Linked DNA regions of Diceros bicornis minor. The main gene of each other region encodes a partner of the protein of the gene in region 2 in a complex. Links are inferred from orthologs where the notes say so. Each region holds a gene or a part of one and is shown on either strand. Other genes may lie near its edges.

Region 1 (16,206 bases), on a different chromosome or scaffold from region 2:
ACTCCAGAATTGCCCAGGGTCTGATGGGTCTGAGAGGGGCAGACCCCACCCCTGCCCCTTTGTCTGGTGGTGTCTGAGTAAACTGAGTGTTAAGGGCAACTTGAAAAGGAGGGACATCGAGATGGGCCCTGTGTGGGGCACTTAGTCACAAGTAGGGGGTGTGGAGGACAGGGGCAGTGACAGCTCTGTGCAGACTGTGTGCAGATTCTGAGCCTTCCTGCCTCTGCCTCTCTGATGTGCCTCCACGCCCCCTTCTGCCTCCATCACACTTGCACAAAGCTCAGGGCTTGCAGCTCTGCCTCGATGGGCTCCAGCCCCTTCACCAAGCAGAACAAGCAAGTGCTTTGGACCAAGTTGGTGGAGAAACCAACACCAGGGTGATGATCTGTGACCATAATTGGGAACTCTGAGGCTCCTCCGTCATCCTTTGTCTCTGCAAATGGCTCACAGTGATTTTAATATTTGTATTTCAGAAATGTCTACCATAAACAGTCATGACTTAGTGGTCTAAAAACTTTAAGTGTGTTATTACTTAAAAAATATGGTGAACTCAGCTATTGGGCTTGAGTGGGGTTGAAGTATTCTGGCTAATGAAAAATTCTGGTTAAGGGAGTGACTATCTAGGCAGAACCATATCTAACTGAGACAATTTCAAAGAACTGAAACAGAAGGCTCGTTTAACGCCAAGCTGAACTTGAGTTAATAAGAGATCTTTTTCTGATTGTTGGAACAGCTTGAATGATCATGGGATGCCTCTGAGTTGTCACTGAGAATGCATCAGTGTACCCAGTGCTGGTGGATGCAGACTTATATATTAAAAAATACCTTGTTGATTTGTACAAAACTAAGGGAACTAGTACTTAGGGGTCAGAAGAAATGTTTCATCCACTTGTTACTTGCAGCAGTGCCAGGGATGTCTTCACCCTTTTTGTGGAAGAAGTTCTTGATGCTTGCAACAGTGGTTTCTCTGTGCTCTGTTTCCCCTAATCTCTCTGAGTGAAGACTTTTATAAAATGGTTGGAAAAATCCCTGGAGCCCAACCCCAGAGCTTCAGAGCATTGCTGTCCTATGGGGGAGAAGTCTAGTTATGGCCTGGGTCTCCAGCATGGGCTCCTGTGGATGGGAAAGGGAACCCCTAAAGTTTTTGAGGTCAGTAGCATCAGTGCTTTCGTATGGCCCCAGGCCCTGCATCGAGTACTGGAAGAAAAGATGGGCCACTGAGGAAACAGGGCACTGGGCCAAGCTGCTGCCTTGCCCTAAAGAGGCAGAGCCTGAAAGAAGCCACATTCCACCTAGCCCAAGGGCAAGGGATGACCCCTCTGGGGATTCACTTGGGCTTGCAGACAGACAGCCTCTCTTGACAACTGGGGAAGCCCCTACTCTCATTCTGGAGGCACTGGAATTGACCTCAGATGTTGATCTTGTGTATGACAGTCCTTCTAAGACTCTTTGAGTCAGTGGGAAAACCAAATTAGCAATTTGTGTCCTCAGAGCCTCCAGCATTCTATGGCTGAATAGGACCTTGAAAAGTCTCCTCTATTGCACCAGCTCCTGGTCCAGCTTCCTCTAAACCACATCATGTCAAAAGCTGGCCTCTTATGTATTTGCTTGGGTCAGCAGCTTATAAGGGCTGTGTTTGTTTGTACAGTGGAGGATATAGGAGGGAACTAGAGAGCAAAAAGGCTCTGGATTTGAGACTTGGATATTGAACTTATACTTGTTAGATGGTTAGCCACGGGAAGGCCCCTCTGAGCCTCAGTTTTCCCACATGTAGAAGGAGAACCATCTGTAGAATGAGAGCCTCTTCACTGGATTGTTGTAAAGTAGTATGATGTATTGACTAAGCAGGTGAATTTTAGGGGTATGAATCCTCGCTGCTCTGCCATGGTAATTGCATGACCTTGGTCAAATCACTCAATTTCTCTGTGCCTCATTTTTTTTCTTTATTTGCAAGATGGGATGATGATAATAGTATGGACCTCATAGAGAATTTAGTGAGGATTAAATGAGTTTATATATATATACACACACACACACATATATATGTCATCCCACTGCCTTCTGGCCTCCATGGTTTCTGGGAAAAAATTAGCTGTTAATCTTATTAAGAAGCCTTTGTATGTGATGAGTGGCTTCTTACTGCTTCCAAGATTCTCTGCCTTTATCTTTCTTTCTTTTTTTTTTAAAGAATTTGCACTGAGATGCTTCTTCTTCTTTTTTTTTTTTTTGAGGAAGATTGGCCCTGAACTAACATCTGTTGCCAATCTTCCTCCCTTTTTCCTTTTTTCTCCCCAAAACCCAAGTACATAGTTGTATGTCATAGTTGTATGTCCTTTCTAGTTCTTCTGTATGGGATGCTGCCTCAGCATGGCCTGATGAGTGGTGAGTTAAGTCTGTGCCCAGGATCTGAACCATTGAACCCTGGGCTGCTGAAGCGGACCATGCGAACTTAACCGCTACGCCACTGGGCCAGCCCCTATCTTTATCTTTCAACAGTTTGATTACCATGTGTCTAGGTGTGGATTTATGCTACTTAGAGTTCATTAAGATTCATAGATTTATAAATTAATGTTTTTCATCAAATTTGGGAAATTTTTGGTCATTGTTTTTTTTACATATATTTCTTACTCCTTTCTCTCTCTTATTCTCCTAGGACTACCATTATGCATGTGTTGGTACATCTGATACTGTCCCACAGGTCTCTGAGGCTCTGTTCATTTTTCTTCATTCTCTTTTTCTGCCTGTCCCTCAGACTATCTAATCTCAAGTGACCCATCTTCAAGTTCACTGATTCTTTCTTCTGCCTACTCAGATCTGCTATTGAACCCTTCTAGTGAATCTTTTATTTCAATTATTGTACTTCTCAACTCCAGAATTTCTATCAGGTCCTTTTAAAATAATTTCTATCTCTTCTTAATGTTCTTTATTTCTTGGGACATCATTCTCATCTTTACTTTAGTTCTTTACACATGGTTTCTTTTAGTTCTTTGAATATATCTAAAATAGGTGACAAAGTCTTTGTCTAGTAAGTCCGGTATGTGGGCTTCCTTAAGGATCTATTGATTGCTTTTTTCCCCTTACATGTGGGCCTTACTTTTTTAGTTCTTTGCATGTCTTGTAATTTTTTAAAATTTTAAATTTAAAATTAAAACTGGATAATTTAAACAGCAGAATCTAGCAACTCTGAAAATCAGATTCCTACCCTTCCCCAGGGTTAGTCCCTGTTGCCGTCTGTTATTGTTGTTTGTTTGGTGACTTTTCTGAATTAATTTTGTTAAGTCTGTATTCTTTGTCATGTGTGGCCACTGAAATCTCTGCTCAGTTAGTTTGGTGGTCAGCTCATAGGGATTTCCTAAAATGCTTGGAACCAACGCATCTCTCAGTCTTTACTGAAGTGTTCTCTGCTCAGCAGAGAGGTAAGGACTCAGGTAGGCATCTATATTTCTGCCTTAGCCTTCACTTTCTGCTTGTGTGCAGGCTCAAGATAAGCCAGAGGTGAGAGCCTAGGACCTTCTCTGGTCTCCCTGTGCACACATATAGCACTGTGCATGCACCTGGCCTTCTACATTCTCAGGAATGTGTTGGAGCTTTTCAAAGCCACCTTGGACATCTTATGCCCTAGTTTTTTAGTTAGCCTATTTTTTGCCCTAACTGTTATCTACTGCCTCAGGCAGTTATGATATTAAGCAATTGTTTCTAATTGTTTTTGACAAATGCCCCCTGGGAAAAAGACTACTCTGCTGGACGAGCTCAGGTCAAATAAAGACAGCCTTGCAAGTGGAGACTTCCCAGGAACCACCAGAGAGATCAAATAATGACAATTCTCTGGGAGTGAGGCTTTGAAAGAGATCCAGCCCTGTTCTGTCCTGTCTGACGGCTACCAGGCTGATGGTTTTCACTATGATGGCAGACTGGTGGTTTTCAAGGCTATGACAGAGTTAGGGAGGGAGGAACGCAAATAGAGCAAGTTAAAACACCGTGAAGCTCGCTGTTCTTACTGAGATTCACCATTTTTTCTTGAATAAGCACTTGCTGGATAGCTGGATAGCTGGATAATTTTCAGAGTTCTGAAAAAGTTTATTCTGACCATTTTGCCAGTGTTCTCATAGTTTTTATAAAGAAGAAGATTTTTGGAGGTTCTTATTCTGTCATTTCTTCTGATGTCATCCAAAGTTAATATATGTAAAGCACTTAAAACAAAAAACAATGTTTGGCAGATGGTGCTATATTTCTGTTTGCAGTTATTATTATTGTTGTTGTTAATAATACATGAGAGAATGTATATGAACTCTATTCCTCCCTCCAGAAAAGAGTGATCCCACAGAGCACAGGAAGAATGGGCAGGGAAGGACAAAGATGTCCACTTGCAGAGAAAGGAGAGGGGAGAAGGCAGGAGCACACTTCGGAAGCTCCTTGGGGGTAAGGCAGTGCTCACGAGTATGAGAGGGATGATTCACTCTGGACCAGGGCAAGAAGGCATAGTCTAGGCTCAAGGAGGCTCAAGGCCAAGCCATGCCTGCTGGTCCCCTGTGGCTAGTCCAGTCACATCCCGCCACTCTGTCTCTTCCTTGTATAGACTCAGCTCACCTCCCTGCTCATCGGCTCTATAAACTCACCAGACTTTAAAAGGCAGGTGCCTCCAAGGACAGGTGGGCAGAACCGTAACACTGCGTTCCCTTGTGTGGTCCCTGGAGAATCTGCCTTGCCCTGCCCTGCCCTGCCCTGCCCTGCCCAGGAGAGTTGGCCAGTGATGCATGTGTTTACGGGCGTGCTCAGCCATGGCTGAGGGGCGTGGGCCTCTGTGCTATGTGATACTTTTCAAGCACATGTCCATGCCTATTAAAGTCCTCAGCCCTGGGACTTGGTGTTTCCAAGACAGCTGGGTATTTACGAGTCTTCCAGGTGTCCAGTGGGAATGAGCAAGGCAAGGGTTTCCTGGAGCCAGCAGAAGGGGAAGGAAGAGGAAAGAGAGAAGGGGGTTTAGGCCCCTTTGTCCCACACACAGACTAAAAGATCTTTGGGGATTTAGCACGGACACCATTGAAGGACAGAGTTCAAGGAACACCCAGTCTGATAACAGAGAATAATTCTGAAAACCAGGTGGGATCCTGCACTCACCTTTGTCCACTGCCTCCTCGGAGGGACGTTTGTGAGCAACGGAAGGGACTTTATGTTGCTGAGCCCAAGTACCGTATTTTATAGGAGGAAGCAGAGGCTGCGATGGGCTTTGTCACACCCGATAGTTGTTCGGGGGTTGTGAGCAACGCATCATTAGAGCCCAGGCCTCTGACTCTCCACGCAGGGCTCCTCTCAGCACATGCTCTGTTTGCTGTGCATGCAGAGGGCTCCATGTTTGCAGAATAGACTGGTCACCCTAATATCAGGTATTCTTGACAAGGAGCTCACCTTCAGTGTGTGGTTCAGTCACGTGGTAGGAAATCGAGGAATGCACTTAAATTACAGCAGAAGGAAATGCTTTCCAGCTCTTCAGGGGTCTGAGCTGAGGGAGGACCTACAGAAGGACTGACAGTTCTGACAAAAAGGCAGGTGGCTCATCGCCAACCAGGTCCTGCTTCACAAACGTGTGACCTGTGCTTCGCTCAAGGCCCTGCACCTGCAACGGACCCCTGCATGGTTTCATGCCTTGCTGTCGCCACCTTGAAATTCTTAAAAATGATCACAATTTCATTTAATTGCATTTTCATTTTGCACCAGGCCCCATAAATTCTCTAGCCGATCCTGTCTACACCCCAGCCTGGAGTCTGGGGAATGAACATGCCAGCCTCCTGGGTCCCTTCAGCCTGAGGACATAGGGCCACCTAGCCTGTCTCTGCAGGGAGAGAGTGGAGCTGGGCACACCCGGAGGAATGACCACTCTGGGGCCAGAAGCCCCTAAGCTGGAGGATCCTCGGTTTCTTTCTTGAGCCTCTGGTCCCACTACTCCAGCCCTCTGCTCTGGGTGAAAAGCCCCAAGCCTCCCCAAGACGGAAATAGCTAGAGACACGTGCCCTCTTTTTACAGCCCGGCTCTGGCCACCAGCAGAACCGCATGCAGTTCAGATCCTCTTCCCTGGGCCCGGAGGGCTGGGCGGTGGTCCGTTCTGAGATGGAGAAACCTGCCTTCTTTCCCAGGGGCAACTTTTCCAGGGGGACGAGGAAGAGCAGGAGGCAGGGACGGGGGACAGGGAGTGAGTACGTTACCCCCAGGCAGGGTGATGGGTCCGCAGCTCTTGTCCTTTTTGTTGCTCAGGACAATACGCTTGGTGCAAATCCGCCAGAGGCCGAAGTGGGCCGCCTCGCAGGTGGCATTGTGGTGCTCCACATGGGGGCTCAGCACTGCCCAGTGGTCGGTCACCACGGCCACCATGGCCAGCACGATGCCCACCAGGATGCAGAAGAGGGTCACGCGGACCTTCAGTGCTTTGGTCTGGGACATGGCGATGGCGGAGGAGTGGGCGCTCGGGGCAGGTCCGGTGGCAGCGTCTCCCTGGGCAGGTGGCAGCCGGGCTGGGGTGGTGGCGGCGGTTATCGAGCGGGGGGTGGAAGCTAAGTTTAGTGTGCCCGGCCGAGCCAGAGTGGGCTGGCCTTGGGGCTGAGGGACACTGGATGGGGCTGAGCAGCTGCCCAGACGTGTCAGGGGCCTGAGGGAGGCTTCTATTAATGCACATCTCCAGGCGTGTCACCGACGACGGTGTCGCCTCGGGTTTCAGGGCTTTCTTCCCCTCTTGGAGCCAGAAATACCCCAGGGAGGAGCGAGGAGAGAAGGCTTTAGATGGTGACTTGAGACCTCTACGGAGCGACTGCTCAGAATACCTGAGTTGGGAGGCGACGAGGGCTAGGCAACAGGGACATTACGGGGTGTGGGATCTGCCTGCTCTGGGCTGAAGGAGAAAGGGGACCCTGGGGGATACAGGCAGCACACGCTTCTGTTCTTCCACTGGGCAGGCCGGTCACCAGGGTGGGGTGGTGGGTCCCTGTCCTGGAGGTCTGGGGGACCAAGGATCCTGCCTCGGGACATCTTGGGGATCCCCTGCCCAGGCCTTCTGGAGCCCACCTCACAGGCAAATGCTTTGGCCCCAAGCCCAGCACATCCCCAAACCACAGGACGATGGCAGGTGTTTCCTGGGCTTGGCGTTACCGAACACTGTGCCCGATGTGAGAATGTTATTTCCTTCCGAATTCTTCTCCCATCCCTCTAGTTGGGTCCAGAAGAAAAGCTCCATTTGGGGTAAGTCTTTAACACCTTTCTGCTGCCTGCAAATCAAATAGCCTGGAGAGGACAAAGAATCCAGCTGAACCTGACTGTAGTTCTGTTTTCATTTTACTGTTTTAGTTTTACCCCTATTAATGGCAGGCAATAAAGATTTCCCAGCTGGGTTTTCATTTACAAAATAAATATATTTAAGTAAAAAAGAACAGAAGTAGGTTGACTTACGAGTGGCTAAGAGGCTAATGGGCGTGCGGATATAGTGGAGGACATATGAGAGTTTGGGACCACCATCCGAGAGTCCTGCCTGCCCATGTGCCCCCCAGGCTGGTAGTCCAGGCTCTAGCCCCTACAACTCTCCTGGGTTCTGCGTCTCTTCTTTCTCAGTTCACCAGGTGCCTCTTTTGGGGAGTATCTAAGAGGCTGATGCGTGGCCACGTATAGACCCCTCAGCTGGGCAGGGCTTTGAGCTTCAAAATCCTGGCTCAAGTCAACACAGATTACAGAAAACCTGCCTGCCTGTGTGCGGCTAACACTCAGGGGTCCAGCCTTGGAGGCACAGACTGTTAATAATAATGATAATTGTAATGGCAGCTCATTCAGTGAGTGCTTACTACATACCAGGCACTCTGCTAAGCCTTTCCATGTCATTGCAGTTAATCTTCACACCAATCCATGAGAGGAGAACAGCTATTACTCCCATTTTACAGATGAGGACATGGAGGCTCAGAGACATGAAGTAACTTGTCCAAGGTCACACAGCAGGTAAATGGTGAAGCCAGTTTTCAGAACCTAGAGCCCAAACTCTTTAACCAATGGTTGGAGCTGGGAGGAAATTTCAAGATCTATTGTGACTACAGGAAAGGGAAACTATCTTTTCCCTCTACCTTTCTAAGCTCTCAGCTTAGGTCCCTATAGGAAAAGACAGATTAACAAGAGAAAAGCATACAAATTTACTTCATATCAGTTATACATGACCCGGGAGCCTTGACACAAGAAACAAAGACCAGAAGGAACAGTTAAATCTGAGCGTTTTTATGCCAGGTGTGATCAAGAGCGGAAAATGAAAAAATATGATAGGACAAAAAGAGGCATGAGCTAAGCGCAGTCAACGAGAGAGGCGGCGGCCTGTTGGTTTGGACTCTCCCGGCGTCTTGGTGAACGGTGCGGGGAGGGCGCCTCTCACACGAGGGTCTTCTGACCCGCTTCAGGGTAAGGTCAGAGCGTCCTTCCTGCACCCGCCACGTCTCAGATTCCTTCAGCTGAAGTTATTCAATATGTCAACGTGCCATACCTGTGGGCAGAGTGTCCTGAACCCTGTCATGAGCGACGAAAGTAACCTGCAGCCTAGAGAGAGGATGTGACAAGCCAGGACCACCCTGTGAACAAGCCCCCGAGCTGAGCAGAGACCGCGCACCTCCAGCCACAGTCAGGCGTGAGGGCAGTTACATCTGAGACAGTGACAGCTGGGTTTTCATGTTACAAACCAGCCTCCCCACCCAGGTGATAATCTCCCGAGAGCTTCTCTCTCCCCCTTCCTCATCCCTGTTCCCCTTCTCTCCCTGGCGCCCAACTCCGGGATCCCAGTGGAACTGACCCATCACAACCGACTGACTTACTGACGCCTGTCACCGCCCTGCTCTGGCTCAGAGAGTGACGTCTGTCTCGGGGAGGTGGGCCGTCTCCACAGAGAACTCCTGGAGGCTGACATGGCACATGGCCTCGGCACCTCACACCGCCCTGTGGCCCGGCCTCAGGAGCCAGGCAGCCCGGCTTCTCAGGGGACCCTGGGTAGCCTGAGGCAGACCGCCTGTGTGCCAGGCACACCAGCAAAGCAGCAGTCGGGGAGTGAGAAGAAGGTTCTGGTGTTTTAAGACAGAAGAAAGAAGCGATTTTAGTTTTAGCACAAGTAGATATGGTGTCATTTGAAGAAATAAAAATGCATTTTGAGTTTCCTGGCGTGGTGGGGGTGGGCGTCCCAAGCTCTCCAGTGCCAGGAGCCTTGGAAGGTCTTGGAAGTGCCCTAAGTGGGCCTGACACACAGGGCGCTCCCAGTGTCAGCCACGACAACACTGCAGGCCCATCAGAGAAACCAGGCTGTGCCTTCCCTCAGTGGGGGCAGGTTTGTGCCGATGAGGGGGTCCTCAGTCCTCCAGCCCAGCGAGCAGAAGCATTAAAGATTGATGGCCTCTTCCTTTTGAAGTAGGCTTTGTGCAGATCTCCATGAGGCCGGCAGCTCCAGGTACTGCAGGCGAGTCTACTTTCTCTCCCTCGTTTACTAAAGGCTCCTTCATCCAGACCTTTTCTGCTCACAGAGGCCACTGCCAGGCTGTCTGCTCGATTCCCCAGGGCCTTGCTGGGCCAGGAAGGGGGCTTGGTGGACGCTGGCATTTAGTGGGAGCTGGGGCTGGGTGACGTCAGCATCCTCTGCACAGGTCCTGCCCTTTCCAGGGCATCAGGAAGGAGGGCAATGTGAGAGTGGGAACCAGCCTGCTGGTGATGGATCCAGCCAGCCCCAGGATCAGATCCCTGCTCTGCCAGGCTCCAGCTGTGTGGCTTCCAGCAAGTCATTACCTCTCTAAGCCGTCCTTTCCTCATCTATAAAATGAGAGCAGTGGAGCCTGGCTGGGGAGCTGGTATAAGGATTAGAGATAATGCACTTTACCGGCTTAGCCCATGGTAGGTGCTATGGACTGAATTGTGTCCTTCCCCGCCTCCCAAATTCATATGTTCAAGCCCAAACCCCAGTGTGATGGTATTTGGAGAAGGGGCCTTTGGAAGGTGATTAGGTTTAGATAAGGTCATGAGGGTGGGACGCCATGATGTGATTAGTGCCCTTATAAGAAGAAACACCAGGGGCCAGCCCCATGGCATAGTGGTTAAGTTCAGTGTGCTTTGCTTTGGTGACCCAGATTCATGGGTTCAGATCCTAGGCACAGACCTACACCACTCATCAAGCCATGCTGTGGTGGTGACCCACATACAAAATAGAGGAAGATTGGCAACAGATGTTAGCCCAGAGCAAATCTTCCTCACCAAAAAAAAAAAAAAAAAAAAAGAAGAAGAAACACCAGAGAGCTTGCCCTTTCTTTTTCTCTGCCACGTGAGGACACAGCAACAAGGTGGCAAGACAGGAAGAGGGTCCTCACCAGAACCCGACCATGCTGGCACCCTGATCTTGGACTTCCAGCCTCCAGAACTGTGATAAATAAATGTTTAAGCCACCCAGTCTATGGTATTTTGTTATAGCAGCCTGAGCAGACTAAGACAGTAGGCAATTGATCCAGGATGGCAATTGTTGTTGTTATTTTATTATTATTATTAATAGACTACAGATGGATGAGCCTTCTCTGATGGGCTATAAGCTTCTGGAGGGTAGGGATGGTGAGAGTGTATTATGTACTCATTCTGGGTCTCCTCAGAGAGCCCTCTGGATCTGAGCTCAAGGTGGGATCTTCATAAATGTTTGTTGAATGGTTGTTGGATGGATGGATGGGTGGGTGGATGGACAGACAGAGGGACTGAAAGAACAAGGGGACAGAAGCTCAAATAATTTACTTCGCCAGATGATCCAAAGGACATTTCTATGTGGTTTAAGGCCACAGGGACATAAGAAATGGCAGCTGGGGCAGACCAGGACAGCTTGGACCAAGGGCCAATTTGCTTGGAGGTGCTGAGGCGACGCCCTAGGAGGGCACCATTGTCGCCTCTGCGATCAAGTTCAAAAGGAAGCAGCCTCCAGAGATCTGACATTTTCTACAGACACTCTTCAAAGTAGATATGCCACACTCAGCTAATCGAGAGTTGTCTGTATTTTACTTGCCCAGATGTACCAGTTTTCATTTGTCCCAAATGACTGCTCTTTTCCCAAGAAAGACCAGAACATAACTAGAGGGAGGAAAACACCTCCCGGAGGTGGGCCTCGTTCAGAGTCAGGCTGGTGCACACCTGGGTGGGGGCCAAATAAATCCTCTTTGGCAATGTGCTGATGTAATTCTGAGCTCAGGCTTAGTTAGGCTGAGAAATGGCCTTGGGTGTTTGATCTTAAGATACTATAAAAAGGAAAGTGCCACTGAACTGGTCCCAACATCTTTACACAACGTCATCTCCCTCCTTGCACTGTTCAACCTGGACCCTCTGTTGCTTCAGGCTGGCTGCCCCCAATTCCATCCTGTGAGCTGAAACCGGGCCTTTGCCTCTGCCAAGGGGATCGAGATCTCTTCTCTTCGAAGCCAGCTGTTGCATCATGCTGACCTCTGCTTCTGTCATCACATCTCCTTCTCTGACTCTCCTGCCTCCCTCTTTCCCATACACGGACCCTTGTGATTACATTGGGTCCACCCAGATGACCCAGGAAAATCTCCTCACCTCAAGATCCTTAATCACATTTGCAAAGTCCCTTTTGCCATGTAAGGTGACATAGTCACAGGTTCCAGGGGTCAGGACTTGGACATCTTTGGGGGCCATTATTCTGCCTACTATAGGCACTGATTTACGATTTGCTTGATTTTCTCTGGCATCACCTTGTAGCTCAGGCACAGGGGTGGAGAAGATGGAAGGTGAGACTGAAGGAGGGTTGGGGCTCTTCCGGGAGGGAAAAGCTAGAAGGAAAAGGGGCCCAGGGAATTGAGGGCATTGGCGAGGGTTAAGTGATGACTTGCCATGTATGGGCTGGTTAGGGTGGTCCTGCAACCAGGCAGGTTGATATATTGGGAGAAAATGGAGAGGCCTGAAGGGCTTGATGAGTTTGGAGAACACGTGTAGTGGTGGTGAGGAGGTGAAATAATTGGGAGCATTGGAAGCTGTGGTCAGAGAGCAGGAAAACGGCCCTGAATTTTACAGGGGGAACAGTCAGGACTGATGACAAGCTCCAATTTGGAGATGAAGGTCATTGGAAGTTAGAAGGCCAGATAGTCCACGGAGGTGAAAAGTTCAGATGGCCAGTGGAGGTGAGAAGTTCAGATGGCCAATGGAGGTGAGAAGGCCAGAGGCCAATGGAGGCGAGAAGTCCAAATGGTCAATGGAGGTGAGAAGTCCAGATGGTCAATGGAGGTGAGAAGACGGGAGAGCTGTGAGGCCAGGGAGTCAGAGAGGCTGGCCCCATGGATGTTGACGTGGCTCAGTTTGATGGTGGCAGGAGTTGGGGTACAGAGGATGGCTTTGAGCCAGAGGTAAAGTCTCTGATGGACATGAAGGAGTGGCCAGGAAGGAGTCTGGGAGATGACAGTGATGAGAAAGGGTTCAGGATGGTCCACTCAGGCCCTCAGAGAAGGCTTTTCCCCAGGAGGTAGAGGAGTAATGGTTTGGAGGTCTCAGCATCCCCCACCACTTCCCTCTCCTGCAATTATAAGTCCAAGGGCATGAGTTCATAACCTTCTCTGATCGCAGACTTCTGTTCTTGAGGTTGCACCAGCAATTTTGTTGGAAGCTGCAAGTTTAAAAATATCTGTATCAGGTGTATCTGCCCCAGTCTTCCTCTGGATCCTAAGGTCCCTCAGATCCTTTTTCTCCCTTTCCAGCCCCACACCTCTTGGGACTGCATATGGGGCTGAGCAGCTAGGAGTATTATATTGGGAACCTGGGCAGGGAATCCCTGCAGAAGAATGGACAGCTTTCACCAGGAGGACAGGAAGAAGGTGTGTCCTTGGGGGAGAGGAAGATTTTATTTATCCCAGGGGGTGGAGGGAGACTTCAGTAAGGATGTGGGTAGATCCAGAGGGCACAGGGGTGATGGAGGATGGAAGGGAGGGTTAGTGGGTGGAGAAGAGGCTTAGAGCCAGGTGAGGGTACTGGAAAGACTAGGCGATAGACTGTGTCTTCCAAAAATGGCCACAGAAGTCTTTCTGCTCCCATATGTTCTTCCAGAACCTTGTCACTGCCCATCAAGAGGTGGAGTCTGTTTCCTTTCACCTTGAACTCAAAAGTGGGCTTTTGACTGTTTTCACCCTTCAAGTACAGAGGAAGGGATGCTGTGTGACTTCTGAGACTTTTGTCTTTCTCTCTTGCTCTGGGGACACTCGCCCTTCGACCCGGACAACATGCTATGAGAAACCACAGGCCACACAAAGAACCATATGTGGACATTCAGGCTGAAAACTGCAGCTAAGGTCTTTGACAATAGCCACCATCAAGTGCCAGACGTGAGCAAATGAGCCTGCAGACGGGTCCAGCCCCCAGCCATCGAGTCTTCCAGCCAAGGCCCCAGACACTGTGGAGCAGAGATAAGCCATCCTGACCATATTTAATGGTTGTTTAACACCACTAAGTTTGGGTGTAATTTGTTACACAGCCCTATGAATTGCTACACTTGGTGACTGTAAGGAATTACACTTTGTGTGGCTGAGAACGGCTAACTGTGAGGCCTGGTGGAAGGGACGCAGCTCCAGCCTTCCGAGAGGAACGTGGGATGAGTCTGACTAGCCGCCGGGCAGGAGTGGGGAGGGGAGGCTGCTATCCCCACAGCCCAGACACCCGGGTGTGTATGTGGACAAGAGCCTGTCTGCGTTTGCTGGTGGACAAGGAGCCTCATCTTTTCATCAGCTTCTAGGATAAAGCTGGGCTGGAAGTTCATAGTGGGAAGTCACCAGATCCTAACCAAATGATCTGAACCAAATGCATCCTAAGCATCCCAGCATTGGCCCCATTCAGGCACCATTTAAGCAAACAAGCTGTGTCCAGCAATAGAACACTGGTTAGATAAATGGTGGTATCTCTTTTTTATGCAGGCGTGAAAGATTATGTTTTTGAGGAATATTGAAAGAGGGGAGAAGATTCTCAAGATGAAAAACAGTGAACAGAGGCAGGGTATGAACCCATACCCCACATACTTTTGGGTGCACTGAAATGTTAACTGTGCTTACGTCTTGGAGAGTGGGATTTTGGCTGATATTGTTATCTTCTTTAACTTTGCTTTACTTTTCAGATTTTTTTTTTAGGTAAAATGTGTTACTATAGAATTAGGAAGACATAGTATTTTTTTTTTTTTTAAGGACCTGGCTATTGCAGTTTAATTTGTAGATTCTGGCGATCCCACAGGGGTTAATGTATTTCCCAGAAAACTTATCAGGGGACAAAGGTCAGGACATAGGTCCCACCAAGCCCCCTCTCCTGCAGTTGTAAGCATAAGGAGGTGGGTTTGTAACCCTCTGTGAGCATGGACTTCTGTTCTGAGGTTGCACTGGCAGTTTTGTTGGAAGCTGCAAATTTAAAAATATCTTGTATCAGGTGTATTTGCCTTCTCTCCTCCTCTGGATTCTAAGGTCCCTGAGCAACCCCTTCCATCCCTCCCCCAACCCCTCATCTCTAGGGCTGGGCAGCCAGGGGTGCTATATTAGGAACCAGTGCAGGGAGCTTAAGTCACGTGGCTGGATCCGAGCTCCCTGGAGGGAGGCCTCCCCTCCCCCTCCCATCTGCTTCCCCTCCCCTCAGGCCTCTCTTTGCTCACTCCACACTAGGGACCCAGAAGAGGACCCTCCCTGAGAAGCCCGGCTCCCAGGGCACCTTTGAGAGTGGTCAGGACTGGGCTCTTGCAACCTGCATCACCTGTGTGGAACTGGAAATGCCCCAGTGGGGTGTGGGGGCCTCCAGGGCCTGCAAAGAAAGCAGCAGCCATGTGGCAACCTTGCCCACTACCACCTCACAGCCCAGGGGCCACTGAGGGTAGAAATGAATGGGCCTCAGCCAGAGAGGCAGCTGAGGCAGGAGCCCTCTCTTGGGGTGGGCACGGCACCTAGATCCGCTGGATGATGAGTTTCTCCCAAATCAAAGTGCAGTGGGCGCGGACACCCTATGGGCCTGGCTATCAGAGCACCGCCTCCAAGAGCTGTTCTAGAACAATCCATTTTGGGACACTCTTTGAGTGTTGTTAGTCAACAAACACTCCTGAAAGCTCACTCTAATGCCAGTTGCTGAGCTGGGGTATTTACAAATGTTTCCTTGTGTAAGTTCAAGTTTAATTCACTCTCTCAACAACCCTGGAGGGAAGTGTTACCTTCCTCATTTGACGGAGGAGGGAACTGGGCTCTGAGAGAGGTCGAGTGACTTGCCCAGTGCCGCCCTCGGGTGAGTGGAGGATTTGATCCCGGTCTTACTGGCTCTTGGCCACCTCACTGCAGCTGCTGGGTGTGGGCAGAGGAGGAAGCCACAGAGCGGTGAGTCCCCGTGTCAAGCTGGGCCACGTTTCTGGCTCGTTCTCCTCTGCCTATTTGGTTGAATTCCATCAGCATTTTGCTCCCAAACCCAGGGACAAAGGCACCACCTACCCCCCCCGGAACAGGTGGCCATTTTCCCATTTCCTTCTTCAACTCCCAGCTCCTATTTCCAAAACTGTTGGCTCAAAAGGGAAGAGGAGAAAGGCAGAAATTGAAATGTGTTGTAGGGAAAGGAAATACTGAGAATAAATAAATGAGTTTTCCTAACATGTCCACAGCCTAGATACAAGCACCAAAAATTGGCTGTGATCTTGCGCAAGTGACCTCACCCTTTCTGTGCCTAAGTTTTCCTCACTGTGAAATCAGCTTTGGCGTTACTGACATTTTGGACCAGATCGTTGTTGGGGGGTGTGGGAGGCTGTCCTATGCACTGTAGGATATTTTGCAGCCTCTTTGGCCTCCACCCACTAGATGCCAGCAGCAACCCCCTACAAGTTCTGACAACCAAAAATGTCTCCAGGACATTGGAAAATATCCCCTAGGGAGCAAAATCACCCCTGCTCGAGAACCATTGGGCTAGCAGTGTCTCCCTTTCATGGTTGTTATGAAAATCCTCAAAAAAATATTTCCTTCCTTCCTTTTATTCTTTCTTTCATCCCTCCCTCACTCTTTGGGCTTATTTCTCTTCTGTGACGAGCACATCAAATGAGATAATTCATTCCTAAGGTACCTGCCACTCCTGCTGGTTATGATATCCTGTGATTCTGTGGTTCTTGTTTGGGTCGAGGCATGAGGTCAAGCCTGCTTCTCCAACCTAGGAAGAAGGTATCATGGACCCATTTTACAGATG
Region 2 (16,190 bases):
AAATAGATAGGCTTAATTACACCTCTATTCTGCTATTTTACTAATTTCAGCAGTAATTTCTCTCCTATCATCTTCTTTTTTAACTTTTAACTGTAGAATGACTCAATGACTAGTTATTTTTTTATAACAATATCCAGGATCAAGAAAAAAATTAAAGCATCTTTTGGAAAGATAATAGTCCATTTTTATGTACTTTAAACAATGTTAGTGAAAATTTATACCACCATTACAAAATGAAATTTCCTTTAGTCGAATGCATATTTAAATTTAAGTCCATCTGGCCGGAATTACTTGTTCATTAGTTACTCTAAATCGTTGAAAATAAAAAGAAGAGTGTTTCATACGAAGGAATTCAAAAAAAAAAAAAAAAATTAAGGCCAAACTTCCCCCAAATGGAAAAAGACAGGAAAGATTAAGTATTCAGATATTTAGTTGACTAAATTTGGAGAAGAAGTATAGTTTTCTTACTTAATTTGCTACTTCAAAGGCAGCTACTTTTATGACCAATGGTTTATCCAAATATTTTTTAGCAACACTAAACATATGAATACCCAATATAGGAGACAGTTAACAATCAAAACTGCCCAGGTTTGGCCAGAGTGCAAAATGTAAACCATAACACTCTCAGTGACACATGCAGACCCCTAAGTTTTTCTTGGAACACAGTCCTAAAAGGCACTAATTTCCACGCATTGCCCATTAGTTATATGCAGCTTAATAAAAACAAATTATGTCACCATAGTAAAAAGGAAAAAAGAAAACCATATATTTAAAGTCCTTTACTTCTCCTAAAATATCAACCAAGCTAAGATTTCAGAGACTAGGGAAAAAAAAGATTTATGAAATATATAAATGACATTAAAAAGATATCCAACATTCTTCATGACGTTAACATCAGCGTCATGTGAATGAATGTCTTCTTTGATAACTAACTTTCAAAATTGGACTGTAGTCTTAAAATCAGCAAATAAATGGTCACATTTCCACAGGTAATTAAAATCTAATTTCCGGACGATTGAAGCAGACAGTAGTAGTAAATTATAGAAGCTGCCAGATAACTGGAGATTTCAGCCCAGTCCTGCACAGAGCTGGCTCAACAGCCCCTGGGGACAGATTTAAGAATGATGCCACATCTGTGGTTGATGGATATGGTGACAGTTCTCCTACCTACAAACTACTACTCCCCATGAGCATAACGCTGATGGCTGAAGTCAGCTTCATCTCTCTCAGTTAGCATTCATTGATATTTATCCCTTTGAACTGGGGACTTTCCTTGTCTTATGGTCTAAAGCAAAGAAAGCCAAAACTATCCAGAGAGGAATCAGACGTGAAATCTCCTTTACCAATAGCTTAGTGTGAATGAGGCTGTCAGATCCTTTACTAGGAGAGAAGTAATTGAGATTACCTCCCTACAAAAAGGAAAACATAAGTTGTTTTTTATAGTGCGTCAGTTTACACAAAAGCAGAAGGGAATCAAGAGGCAGCATACACAGAGCTTTTCGGGGGGTCTGGCAGGTACAGAAGGGAAGAGGCAGGAGGCCAGGAAGCAGAGATATGCCTAGTGGGGACATGCAGGGGCAGGGAGGTGGCAGAAGGGCACAGACCAACCTTGCCCTCTTCCCAATCTACCTCCAGGCCAGGCTTGGAGAGAACCGTCAGACAGACCCAAGTACTCGAAGTGGTGTTATCATTAATTTTAACTCCCTGTCATTGTGAAAGTAAGTAATGCCATATACTATTTGTAGGACACAGACATGTCCCAAAGTCACAAAACAAAGAGGGCCACCACCTCCTGCAGGGTTAACATATTTTGTTCAGCTTTTCTTGAAAGGCCCAAGGCTACATACCGGATAATTCCAAGGAATTAAATACAGCAGCAGGTAAACTAAGTCTTTACATAAAAGGAAATACAAAAAGACAAGACACATACAACTCCAAGACCAATTAAACCTCAATCACTCATTTAGTCGGATATTATATTTCGCATTTTAGAACACACTCAGAAATTGCGGCTGGCACGTTTTAAAATTTCTCCCATGAAACACCAGAACAAATATACCACTCCGTTGGAAAGTGATGGGGGTTAGGAACGAAAGGTTTAGCAAGGCATAAAACACAGGACCCATGACCACTAAGTTTGGAGACCGCAAAAGACTAAATTAGACGTCGGACCTAAGAATATTTCTGGAACACAGTACTGATATGGTTCAAGAGCCACGGGAGCATGGCTGCGGCTCTTTTTAGATAAAGCTCGTGCTACAGCGATGCAGGATGTTGCCATTACCAGGCTGTATTACTACAACATGCTTGAAAAGCATCTGGCAAACTCAGCTGGGGCGGAACCAGCTGGGTTCTGTTGCTAGGAGCAAAACAAACAGGCCCTCTGGTTACTGTCTGTTCATTTTCAGGTGTAACTGGAGGTGCTGGTTACAATCTCTTTGAGGCCTAAAGTGCTAAGATACCGCTCTCGTTGCTCGTCCATTTCCTCTTCTGTCACCATCCTATTCTCTATCCCTTTCACCTACTTCCCATCCACCCAGCCTTCATACAGGATCTAGTCAACTCCCCGGGGAATTACCTGTGCCATACTTTAGACTAACACTGTCCAAGAGAAATATAATAGAAGCCACACAGGTAATTGGAATTTTCTAGGAGCCACATTAACAAGGTAAAATGGTGAAGTTAGTTGCAATAATGTATTTTATTTAGCCCAACATATCCAAAAATATTATCATTGCAACATGTAATCAACATAAAAGTTACTGAGATGTTGTATATTCTTTATTTCATATTAAGTCTCTGAAATCTGGCATTTTACATTTATAGCACATCTCAGTTCAGACCAGTCACATTTCAAGTGCTCAGAGGCCACATGTGGCTAGTGGCGACTATAGTGGACAGTGCAGATATGGAGCTTTGAAGGAGAATCCTACATTAGGCCCCTGATTTTGCAGGTAGATTGTGTCCAAGTTTGCACTGAAACTGTTCAACAGGCTACCTAAAAAGCGATTCAATTTGCTTAAATCAGAACTTTCAAGAATTTGCAGTTAGATTGCTACTTGCTTCTCATGTAAGAATACATCCATTTGTTTATGCCAGTGTGCTGGAGGGAAGGGGTTGGTATGTATGAGCGTGCCCCAACCCCAGGCAGGATTATTGACATAAAAAAGGAAAATGGGCAGTCTGTGAATCTGCATCTTTTGCTTTGTTCCTATAGAACTTGTAATACAATCCAGAGGTGAAATAGAAAGGATTCTTAAAACAAGTGATTGCTTAGAAGTACCATTTGCAAGTAAAAATTCCATTTCTAAGTAGAATTCCTGTTACTCAGTGCCACACAAAAGGGGGCTGCTCCTCAGACAGCCTCCCTTCTCAGGCGGTTTTACTGCTGGCCGGTCCTGCCCAGAGAGATGGAATAGAACCTTTGCCAAGTTTCTTAGCCCTATGATGCCATGATTTATTAGAGATGAAATAAACAAGGCAATCTTTCCCTGAAATAATGGATGTGATATGAACACAATTCAAGGAAAACTGCTTTCATTGTTGGAAGGTAGAGAAAACAAGGAGATGGATGTTGACGCAGTTGAATCTTTATGCCTCTTACCTGCTTATAATACCCATTCCTCCCTTTCTGCTCTCTCTCATGCATCTATGCCATCACTTGCCTATTCCTGTGGATTCAGTCTTTGAAACGTCTCACGCGTAGTCCTGTCATATCCATTATCTTTTCTCTTTTTAGTTTAAGCCTTATTACCTCTTGTCCAAATTGTTATATCCATCTCCCTTCTGGCACTTCCACCTCTGGACTCCTGAGACTCCAAATTGTCCTGCAGAACATTCCCAGATGAATCTTCTGAATGAGCTGCCACGTGGCTCCTTCACTGAACCCCTTCCACGGTTCTCTATATTGTTCAATACACTACACGTTCCAAGCCCCCAAGATGTGGCCTCAGATTGCCTTGTCAGTCTTACATCTAACTATGCCCAATCTGTGCTTTTCCATACTCTTTTAAAACTAGAGATTATAAATGTATCCTTTAAGACTCCTAGCTCCTGTGACTTTGTTTCCTGTATAGCTCTCTACCCTCTCTCTGAATATCTCTGTTGAAATCTGACCCACCCTTCAAATCTCTTCTCAAACGCCACCTCTTCTATGCAGTCTTTACAGACTACTCCAAGTAGAATATTTGTGATCTTTACTCCTTTGAAACCTATAAGATTCAGTTCTTCTCCCATAGACCCATGCTATACAATTGTCATACATTGGTCATACTTGCAGTTACTGGAATGTAGGGCAGAAATTGTGTCTCCCCACATCTGAATCATTTCCACATTGCAGCTGCATAAAAAATACTTGTTGACTTACGTTTAACCATGTAAATCACTAAGTAAATGGGGACCTCTTATCTGAATGGTCATGCTTTCTGTCAGCCCTAACTTTGATCTCCAGGAATTCAGGAACTCTATTTTTATCACAGGAATAAAAATTAAAAAAAAAAAAAAATCCTTGAAGGAAGATCAAAGAGAAAGGAGGGTCTAAAAGTCCTTTCCTCTATCAATATTCAAGACCTTCATCCTGGAATAACCGAGGTCTCTGAGTACATTTCCCATTCTATCTAACCTGGTAAGTGTCTAGATAAAATCAGGAATCTAGAACAATCGTGACATGTGTCGGTAAGGATTCAGGTCCACTGGCAGAGGCTCGAAGGAAATGCAAGTGGTTAGTTACATGTTCCCAGTCTGCTTTACAGCCAGACAGCCCAAGGGAGACAAATTGAGCTGTTTTATCTCTACGAAACAAATGGACTTCTGATTATACAAGTTCTTGGTTTCTACATTCTTCTCCCATCTCAAACCAAAGTGAATTATGTATTTTAAGTGGTAAAAGAAAGGGGAATAAAGTTCCACACTTATGCCACTGGAACTGCCATTCTTAACAGTCTCAAAACATCTAGAGCTGTCAATTTCCACCACCTATCAAAACAATAACAAGCAACAAAACATTCCTAACCTTTATTACCTTGTCCCATTCCTGCTCTACTTACTACAGTAAATACTACTTTAACATGCCCTCTCTTGAGCATTATGTATATATAATCTCACCACAGTTTACAGTCTGGCAAATGTAGACTTGAAATCAACAAGCCAATATCGTTAAGCAAAGAAGAGACATTTCTCCAAAATGATGCTTGAAATGTAACTCTAAGCTCTTCACATCACTCGCCAAGCAGCCCACAGCTAGGAGTCTTAAGTCATTTCCCTGCTAGGATAAAAGTTGAGAGAGACTTTACCGCTGAGACCTAGAGGTGTCTGGAATCCAAACTGTACCTGCCAAAAGCCTTACGTAAAAGCCACCTTATCGTTGCCCAACGCCTACAACTGACATCTCCTATTTCACAACCGGCAGCTAACTGTAATTTTTCCAGAAACCGCTAATACTCATAGGAGAGGAAGGTGGTCCCTGAGCTCCCCGAAATGGCTAACATTTCAGGGAAAATGAAAAAAAATAAAAACTTGAGCGTCCCCTACTCGCTCTCTTCTTAAGAGAAAGGAACGAGGGGTCCAGGCAAACCCTGGCAAGCGCCCGGAGGGGAGCTTAGCTGTCAACGCGGTGTAACGCCGCAGGTGCGGGAGGTGTTCAAGGCTGCTTCCAGAGTCAGGGGCAGAGCGCCCCTACCCACGCCACCCCCCACGCCCACCCCCTACCCCATCACACGGCCCCCACTCCGACCCCAGCTCAGAGCACGTCTAGAAGGGTCGGCGTCGGAGCAAGAGCTGCGGGAAGCGGAGCCCCTCCCGGCCACCCAGACTCACGATCTTGAGCAGGTCCAGTCCACTCGCCTGGTTCATGTCTCTCCATGCGCCTCTCCCGGGAAGGGGCGAGGAGGGCTGACCGGAGCAGCCCGCGGGTAGCCTCTGAAGACCGGGAGGTCTCCCCCGCCCCTTCCCACTTGCTTTTCGGAAGCAGAGAAAAATGGAAGCCTGAGAAGAGCCAGGGAAAGGCGAAAAGGGGCAGGGGCACTGGTGCCAAGAGAGGACAGTGGGTGGCAAAGGGCGAAGAAGGAGGAGGTGGCGGAGGAGACCCAGGCAGGAGGAAGCGGCGAGGCGAGGGATGCTAGGAGAAGAGGCGCCCGGAGAGATGGAGGTCGGCGCCCGGGCGGCTCACAAAGAAAGGAGAAGGCGCCGCGCTCTCGCTACCTGTGCGGCCGCTCCGAGCGCCCCCGCGGGAGCCGCGTTCTCCAGCAGTTCCATCTGGATCTCCTGCGCCCCCGCCGCCGCCGCTGTGGGAGGCGACTTGGACATGTCGCTTTGGACCATTGGCGAAAAGTCGGCTCGAAGCAGCCGCCAGCCCCTCGCGGCGGGTGCCCTCCTCCCCTCCCCCGCCCCCGCTCCGGGGGCCGCCCGGGGCTCGGCGCGGCGCTCGCCGGCTCTCAGGGCGCGGGACGGGGCCGGGCCATTTTGAAGAGCGAGACGCGGGGAGCCGGGCGGCGGTGGCGCGGCACGCGGCCGGGTGGCCGGGGAGAGGGGCTCCCTGCGCGGTGCGGCCGGGGCCGGGCAGGGCGAGCGCAGAGCGGCGGCGGCGCCGGGGCAGGTCCTCGCCGAGAGGGAGGGAGCTCGCGGAGCGCGAGCCCAGGGGGAGGCGCGTCGGCGGGCGAGAGTGACAAGGCAGCCGAACCGCCGAAAAGTTCCCCGCAGGCGGCGCGGGCCGCGTGGGCTCCGGCCCAGCCGCTGCGCGTCGCCGTGGCACGCGCGCTGGAAAGTTTTCAAAGCCGCGAAAGCGAGGCCTCGCGCCCGGGAGCTGCCTTTCTCCGCCGCCGAGCTCCAGTCCCTCTGCTCCCCAGCCGCCTCGCAGGAACCCTCGCAGCCCGCGGGCGGGAACAGGTCGCTCTCTTCGGAGATTGGGGAGGGACCATTCGTCAACCGAGCGTCTGAAACCTACGAAGGCCTCGGGCGCCGCGGAGGGCAAGTGTCGACGAAGGACATCCAGTCAGTAGTGGAAGGCTCTGACGAGGGCAGTAGTGACGAGCCAGAGCAGAAATGGGCCTGATAACCTGAGGATTGCGGTCTCCTGGGAATCTGCAGCTGGCCTCGCCTACCAGGTCCACATCGACCACTTCCAGACCCTAGTCAGGGGTTTCCCCTTTATGACTCCCGTTTGTCTTCATCTCTGCAAAACAGCGCTGGTTATTCACAGAATTGGACTTTTCCTCTAGAGTTGAGAAGTCTTAGTACCACATTTTGGACAAAATAAGCACTTCCTTAAGATCCCGAACTCTTGATAAGAGAGTAATGGCCATAGCAAGAATGTTAGAACATTCCATTCAGATATTCCTAATAAGACACATTTTTTCATGTTATAGGATACCTCTTATTTCAACAACTCTTACTACAGTGGAACTCTCTGTAGAAAAGGTTTTCCAGGCATCAGTATTGTTTTGTAACACAGAGTGTACACAGTTTTGTATACTGAAATGTACATACAGAAATTTGCTGCCGTGGGCTTCAGCTGCCTTTTATGTTTTGCCGTGGTATATTAAATGATTATGGGATATAGTACTTGTTCTTAAAGATAAACGTAGATATTTTTAAACTATCTCCGTCATACTCTGGCTTGAGTCAGGCTTAAAGAACAGGTCATGGTATGGTTAAAGATATAGGCATATCCAAAATGTCATTGATTATTCTAATCTTTGGTGTAAACTCGTCACTTTTGCTTAAATTTTACTGAATATTAAATAGAAGCACTAAAGTATTGATTTATAGTAATAATAATAATAAAGTGACATTTTGAAAAGCAACAGACTGGGAAGCTGGGAGGCTGTTGGTTAGGATATGGGTGGGTGGTCAGTCAGCAAAGGAGGGGGCACCATCTGCTTTGTAGCAATGGCTGCAAGCCTTCTCCAAGGCCTGGCTAAGATGTGTAAAAAAGTTTGTCATTTACAACAATCAGCAGTGCTTTTGTACGTGTGTATGTGTATATCTATGCATGTATGTACTTATGAAAGTGGAAAATAAATTGTATTCAAAATAGTCTATTTTAGCTCCATGATATGATGGTATCACCTAGGTGATAGGTTCTTCTAGGTTCATTCATTTAACGAAACTGTTTATTTTTCTAGGGAGAGTGTTTAAATCTCAAGGATAACATTGAATCTGGTTCTAGATTAGACTGTAAGCTCGGTGTGAGTAGGAGTCACGCTTATTCACCAGGGCACATGCAGAATCTGGCAAGTTGCCCTGAGTTCTTTCAATATTCATTCAAGAAAGCATACATCAAGCTTCTAATGTGTGCCACTGGAGGAGCACAGACAACAAAGACTGGGAATCTTGGGGCTTACAGTCTAACTAGTAAGCACTTAGAAACTAACCAATTAATATACACTTGTTGACTGAGTTAATTAATGAATGAAGCACAATTCTAACATGGTTTTAAAAAACGCCAGGTTTGATGAAACAGTGTTTTCCCATGACATCTGTGTAATTTCTTATAGTATACTTAATTATATACGCATTCGCTTTTAATTATGACCATTTGGGAAGTAGAATTTTATCTTTCATCAGATTTTTTTAAAGAGACCACAAAATATCAAAACAACCTTGAAAATCATTTTTAGTAATGCTTATTTGTATAGCCAAAGGGCAAGTAAAGTTTGAATTAAATGTTCAAATATGATAGAGTATATTGTATTCCTTTCATATAGTTAATGATACAGAACTCTTTGTTTTTATGTTTCTGCCACTACACAGAGTTCCCTAAGGACAGCAATTGTGTCTTGTTCATCTTAGTATCCCTAGCGTGGAGCATGGTGTCTGGCACTTAGTTGTAGCCTGAAAACACTTCTGGCATAAGTGAATGAATGATCTGTCTTCATGTGTCTTAAAACATAGCAAACTAGCATGCTAGTTTTAACATACAAAGATATTTACCTAATCATGACTCACATGAAAGCATTATATTAATTCTTTTTTTATAACCTGTGCTAATTTACTTAACATGTATTGAACACTAACACATTACAATGTACCCAATCAGATTCTAGTCTGGCTTGTAAAAGATTTCACCGAAAAAGTAACACAATGTTACTGCTACCTAAAAAAGGGAACAATATCAGAATAAATACAGAGGGGGAAAAGGCTTGAGAAACTTATCATGGATGCCTTCTATTACGGTCAGTTTTGTTTTTAACATACGTTGACTGGGCAGTATTTAAAAGCCACAGATGAAAACTAAAATTTGGTAAGTAAAGCCTAATTCTTTTCAATGTTAAAAGTTATGCAGATGCACTCCAGCAATAATGGATGTGCAATCCACAGTGGAGGCATTCAAATGCAGATGACTAATTTGTTCAAGCTGTACATGAACTTTAGTGTGCTCATTGGTCGTTGTAATGGACAGGCATATTCTGGGCATTACTAATGCTCTGAAATGAGAACAGGGGCTGGTAAGAAACATTGGAAGAAAGAAACTTTGGTGGAAGCCAGAGTTGGAGGTTTTTTCCCCCTAAAAGTGGAAGAAACAGTGATTACAGTTACTTTACTCCTACTCTCTTGCTTGCACATTTGTCACTATGTTTAAGACCTTGGAGCAAGAGTTCTTTAGGACAGATACTCGCCATACGTGGTTTCCCATTTTGCTTAATAAATCATTTTTCACCTCATTTACAGTTCTGGATCTCTTCCATAATTAATAGCATTTTCATAAGGATATACCTGTATCAGCCACGGGTCTAACTTGTTATAATGCATTCCAGTAAGTTACACACTTGCGTTTTGTAAATTTACACTATAAGATGAATGCCCTGAATTACAGATTGTTATTTAAAAGCATGTAAAGATGCATGCAAATCCAGTATAAGATGGTTGTGTGTTCGTGTGTGTACTGAAAGGTTACAACTGAAATGTGCAAGTGATCAGGGAAAGCTTAATTTCACTTCAAAGAAAAGACTTTATAGAAGTAATAAGATTTCATGAGTACTGAGAACTACCCAGGAGACAGAGCTCTGGAATATCTAATACCGTATCGCACTTTTTAGTTTATAAAGCACATTCATTTGTTATTTGATTTATTTCTCATCCAAACCATTTTTTTTTTCATACAAGGTGCCAGGCTTTGTGCTAAGGATTTACAGATGTCATCTCATCTATGAAGCAGATATTACTATTCTCCATGTTAGTTAGAATCAGTCCAATTGCTGTAACAAATAAACCCTAAATATTTAGTGGATCAGAGAAGAAGAAATGTATTCCTTCGAGACTAGGGTAGTCATTCATCTTCAGAAGGAGCTCTGCTTCATGCTGACATTTAGGAACCAAGTCTTGAGTGACATCTACCATCTTCAAAATGTGGCTCCCAATGTCACCATGGTTGTTCCCATCTGGGTTAGCCAGAAGGAAGAAAAAGGATGATGGAGGACATGTGGTGGGAGAGCTTGTAAGTTTTTATTGGCCAAGCTTGGAAGTGGCATGCATCTCTTCCACTTATATTTTATTGGCTAGAACTCGATCACATGAAAAACCTACAAGACAGACTGAGACATATAGCCTGGTCATATGCCTTAGGAAGAAAAGGAGAGTGGATTTTGATGAACAACTAGCAGAAACTGACTTAACCAAGCCTGAATAGCTGACAAGTAGCAGGAATTAAACATATGTTTTTAAACCCCAATTCTAAGACTTGTTTTCAGTTCAACACAGTTGCCTGTCTGGTGGCCTTCAAAGAGCTGTGTCACACAGGCTAACACTGGGTTTTTGATTGGAGAAACAGATTTACATATTGCTTCTCCTCGCATGCTTCGATGACTACAGTAATGTATTTACTAGAGGTGGGGCTGATCGCACAAATAGCTATGAGTAGCCACAATGTTATTAATTCATGCCACTTTTGTGTGTGTGTGCCTGCTATAATTCAGGGCAATAAGGATAACGGTACTGAACTAGTTAGGAATGGCTCCTGTACTCATAGAATACATAGTAGAGCAGGCGAGACACAGATAAAGTATGAAGAATATGCATGCAAAATACTATGGGAGAAATTTAAAAGATCTGGAAAAAAATGTTTCAGGCAAAAAGAATAGAAAATACAAAGATGGAAGGGGAAGAAATTCAGAACAGCTTGAAAGCAGAGTTGGAAGGTGAGCACGCGGGCAATTAATAATGAAATATATCCAACTGACTCTATCTTTTGCTCTCCCATGGCCCCATTCTTTTGATAGGAATGTCTCATTTATAAGCAAACCCTTGGTCTCTCATGCTTTTTCTTTCCAAAACATCTTAATTTTTTTTTTAAAGTAAAATTTGATTTTTATTGGCTAGAATTTTTTTTTTATTGATGCTTTAATGGTTTCTAACATTGTGAAATTTTGGGTTGTACATTTTTGTTTGTCCATCACCCCATATATGACTCCCTTCACCCCTTGTGCCCACCCCCCACCCCCACTGCCCGGGTAGCCACAGTCCAGTTTTCTCTGTCCATGTGTTGGTTTATATTCCACATATGAGTGAGATCATACAGTGTTTGTCTTTCTCTTTCAGGCTTATTTCACTTAACATAATACGCTCCAGGCCCATCCATGTTGTTGCAAATGGGACGATTTTGTCTTTTTTTATGGCTGAGTAGTATTCCATTGTATATATATACCACATTTTCTTAATCCAATCGTCAGTCGAGGGACACTTAGGTTGCTTCCACTTCTTGGCTATGGTGAATAATGCTGCAGTGAACATAGGGGTGCATAAGCCTCTTTGGATTGTTGATTTCAGGTGCGTTGGATAGATTCCCAGTAGTGGGATGGCTGGATCATAGGGCATCTCTATTTTTAATTCTTTGAGGACTCTCCATACCATTTTCCATAGAGGCTGCACCAATTTGCATTCCCACCAGCTGTGTATGAGGGTTCCTGTTTCTCCACATCCTCTCCAACATTTGTTGTTTTTTGTCTTGGTGATTATAGCCATTCTAACGGGCGTGAGGTGGTATCTTAGTGTTGTTTTGATTTGCATTTCCCTGATGATTAGTGATGTTGAGCATCTTTTCATGTGCCTATTGGCCATCTGTATATCTTCCTTGGAGAAGTGTCTGTTCATTTCCTCTGCCCATTTTTTGATCGGGTTGTTTGTTTTTTTGTTGTTCAATTGTGTGAGTTCTTTATATATTATGGAGATCAACCCCTTGTCAGATGTATGTTTTGCAAATATTCTCTCCCAGCTGGTTGGTTGTTTGTTCATCTTGATTCTGGTTTCATTTGTCTTATAAAAGCTCTTTAATCTGATAAAGTCCCACTTGTTTATTTTTTCTTTAGTTTCCCTAGTCTGGGTAGGCATGTCATCCGAAAAGATTCCTTTAAACCCAATGTCAAATAGTGTGTTGCCTATATTTTCTTCTATGAGTTTTATAGTTTCAGGTCTCACCTTCAGGTCTTTGATCCATTTTGAGTTAATTTTTGTGAATGGCGATAGCACATGGTCCACTTTCATTCTTTTGCATGTGGCTGTCCAGTTTTCCCAACACCATTTATTGAAGAGACTTTCCTTTCTCCATTGCATGTTCTTAGAACCTTTGTCGAAAATTAGCTGTCCGTATATGTGTGGTTTTATTTCTGGGCTTTCAATTCTGTTCTATTGATCTGTGTGTCTGTTTTTGTACCAGTACCATGCTGTTTTGATTACTATTGCTTTGTAGTATGTTTTGAAGTCAGGAACTGTGATGCCTCCTGCTTTGTTCTTTTTCTTTAGGATTTCTTTAGCTATTCGGGGTCTCTTGTTGCCCCATATAAATTTTAGTATTCTTTTTTCTATTTCTGCGAAGAATGTCATTGGGATTCTGATTGGGATTGCATTGAATCTGTAGATTGCTTTAGGTAATATAGACATTTTAACTATGTTTATTCTTCCAATCCACGTGCATGGGATATCTTTCCATTTCTTTACAAAACATCTTAATTTTTTATGGGCAGTACACACACACACACACACACACACGTACAGTCATGTGTCATAAGACTATAAACGATGAGACCTGCTTTATCAAGAAACTCATCTGAATTTACACGTTGAAAGTAGTCAGCTTGTTTGTATCTGAGATTCCTAGTTGCCCATACCCGCTTTTTATGGGACCTCTGTTTTTAGCCAGGCACGTTGGTACCTGGAATAAAAGACTACATTTCCCGGTCTCTCTTGCAGCTACGTGGCTACTTTCTGCAGAGTGAAAGCAAAGTGGGGTGAAGAACTTGTAGGGAGTATCCATAAAAGGCGAGGAAATGCTCCCCTTCTTCCTTTCTGCTGACCAGATTGTGGATGTATTAGCTAAACCATGAGTGAACATTTTAGACAATAAAGCCACATAAAAGCCACGTGCTGAAGTTGAATGAGCACAGCAAAAGGCAGCTGGGTCGTTGATGGTACCCTCAAGCCACCATACCAGCCCTAGACTGCCTACTGTCAGACTTCTTTTAAGTGAGGCAGGAATAAACATTTATATTGCTTAAGCCTCTGTTTCTTTAGATTTTTCTGATCAATCGTACCAAATCGAACCAACCTAGTGATCATTTCATTACTAGGAACATTTTTTTCTTTTAAAAATAACTTTCTTGAGCCAGCCCTGATGGCCTAGTGGTTCAAGTTCCATACTCTCACCGCTTCAGTAGCCCGGATTCGGTTCCCGGCGGCGGAACCACACCACACGTCTGTCAGTAGGCATCCTGTGGCGGCTCACATACAGAGAACTAGAAGGACTTACAACTAGAATATACAACCGTGCCTTGGGCTTTGGGGAGGAAAAAAAAAGAGGAAGATTGGCAACAGATGTTAGCTCAGGGCAAATCTTATCCAGCAAAAAAAATAACTTTCTTAAGGTATAATTTACCTTGCCTTGGTTTATGTATCAGGGGAATTCCCGCCTCATAAAGTGAGGGCTAACGTTGGGAACTGTTTCCTCCTGTTGTATTTTCTAGAAGAGTTTGTATAGAATTAGTAATACTGTCATAAATATTTGGGAGAATTTACCAGTGGGTCTGGAGTTTCCTTTGTGGGAAAGTTTTTAATTATTATTTCAATGTCTTTAATTGATATGGGGCTATTTAGGTTATCTATGTCTTCTTGAGCCTTGATAGTTTATGTTTTTCAAAGAATTTGTCCATTTCATGTGTTATCAATTTTATTGTCATAAAGGTGTTATTAATATTTTCTTATTATCCTTTCAATACCTGTAGGTTCTATAATGACATTTCCCTTTTTGTTCCCGATATTAGTAATTTGTGTACTCTTTCTTTTTTTTTTTGATCAGTCTGGCTGGGGGGGTATTGATTTTATTGGTCTTCTCAACAAGTCAATTTAGGTTTCATTGATTTTCTTAGTCGTTTTTCTGGTTTCTATTTTTTTAAATTTCTTCCCCTATGTTTCTTTTCTTTCCTTCTTTTATTTATGTTTTTTGAGGAAGATTGGCCTTGAGCTAATATCTGTTGCCAATCTTCCCCTTTTCATTTTTCTCCCCAAAGCCCCAGTACATACTTGTATATCCTAGTTGTAGGTCCTTCTAGTTCTTCCATGTGGGACCCCCCCCTCAGCATGGCTTGATGAGCGGTGACTAGGTCCATGCCCAGGATCCGAACCAGCAAACCCCCAGCCCGTGAAGCAGAATGCGAGAACTTAACTGCTATACCACCGGGCAGGCCCCTCTGCCCTTATATTTCTCATTTCCTTTCTTCTGCTTTGAGTTTGTTTTTTCTCTTCTTTTTTCCTAGTTTCATAAGATAGAAGTTTAGATTATTCATTTGCTATCTTCTGTTCTAATATAAACACTTGAAACTAAAATTTCCCTTTAAGCATCTATTTAGCTGCATCCAAATATTTTGACTTTTATTTTTCTTTTCATGCAATTCAAAATATTTTCGAATTTTCTTTGTGATTTTCTATTTAACCCATGGTTTATTTAGAAGTAAGTTTTTAAATTTCCAAATACATGGGAAATTTTCCAGATATTTTTCTGCTTTTGATTTTTAGTTTAATTTCATTGTAATCAGAGAATACACTTTATATACTTTCAATCATTTTAACTTTTTTGAGATTTGTTTTATGTTTGTGGCTCAGTAAATCATCTACTTTGGTGAATTTTTTGTGTACACTTGAAAATAATTTGTATTCTGTTGTTGGGTGGAATATTAGATAAATGTAAATTAGATTATGTTGCTTGTAGTGTTTTTCAGATCTTCTATATTTGTACTTTCTTTTTGTCTACTTGTTCTACCAATTAATAACAAAGGAGAGTTGATATCTACAAGTATAATTTTGGATTTTTTAAATTAGTTGTGTTGTTTTTCATTTTTTTTCAAATTCTTTTACTGTCGTAAAATACATATACATGAAATTTACCATCTTACCCATTTTTAACTGTACAGTTCAGTGGTATTAGATACGTTCACAGTTTTGTGCAACCATCACCACCATCCATCTCCAGAACTCTTTTCGTCTTCCTCAACCAAAACTCTATACCGGTTAAACACTAACTCTCCATTCTCCCTCCTCCCCACGCCCTGACAACCACCATTCTACTTTCTGTCTCTATGCATTTGACTACTCTAGGTTCCTCATATAAATGCAATTATGCAGGATTTGTTCTTTTGTGTTGCTTATTTCGCTTAGCACAAAGTCCTCAATGTTCATCAATGTCATAGCATATGTCAGAATTCCTTTTCTTTTTAAGGCTGAATAGTATTCCATTTTATGCATATCTACATTTTATTTATCCATTCATCTGTCAATGGACATATGGGTTGCTTCCACATTTTTGCTATAGTGAATAATGCTGCTATGAACAGGAGTGCACACATATCTCTTCAAGACCCTGCTTTCAATTTTAGGGGGTATTGCTATGGTCTGAATGTTTGTATCCCCTCAAAATTCATATGTCAAAATCCTAATGCCCAATGTGATAGTATTAGGAGGTGGGACCTTTGGGAGGTAATTAAGTCATTAGGGCAGAGCCCTCATGAATGGGATTAGCTCCCTTACAAAAGAGAGCTTGCTTGCCCCTTCCACCATGTGAGGACACAATGAGAAGTTGGCAGTCTGCAAGCCAGAAGAGAGCCTTCACCAGAACCTAGCCATGCTAGCATCTTGATCTTGGACTTCCAGCCTCCAGAACCATGGGGAAAATTTTTCTGTTGTTTATAAGCCACCCAGTCTGTGATATTTTG

The links.
Region 1: CACNB2 (region 2) and CACNG1 share a complex: the UniProt entries of both Homo sapiens proteins name them as parts of the calcium channel complex. The link is inferred for Diceros bicornis minor from reciprocal best matches to the Homo sapiens genes CACNB2 and CACNG1.

What each region holds. Positions count from the first base shown.
Region 1 is NC_080757.1:48,247,251-48,263,456, forward strand, and holds the start of CACNG1 (voltage-dependent calcium channel gamma-1 subunit), read right to left. Parts: upstream 6,436-16,206; coding exon 6,201-6,435; intron 1-6,200. UniProt on the Homo sapiens protein: Regulatory subunit of the voltage-gated calcium channel that gives rise to L-type calcium currents in skeletal muscle. Regulates channel inactivation kinetics.
Region 2 is NC_080775.1:18,229,793-18,245,982, reverse strand, and holds the start of CACNB2 (voltage-dependent L-type calcium channel subunit beta-2), read right to left. Parts: upstream 6,329-16,190; 5' UTR 6,319-6,328; coding exon 6,199-6,318; intron 1-6,198. UniProt on the Homo sapiens protein: Beta subunit of voltage-dependent calcium channels which contributes to the function of the calcium channel by increasing peak calcium current. Plays a role in shifting voltage dependencies of activation and inactivation of the channel.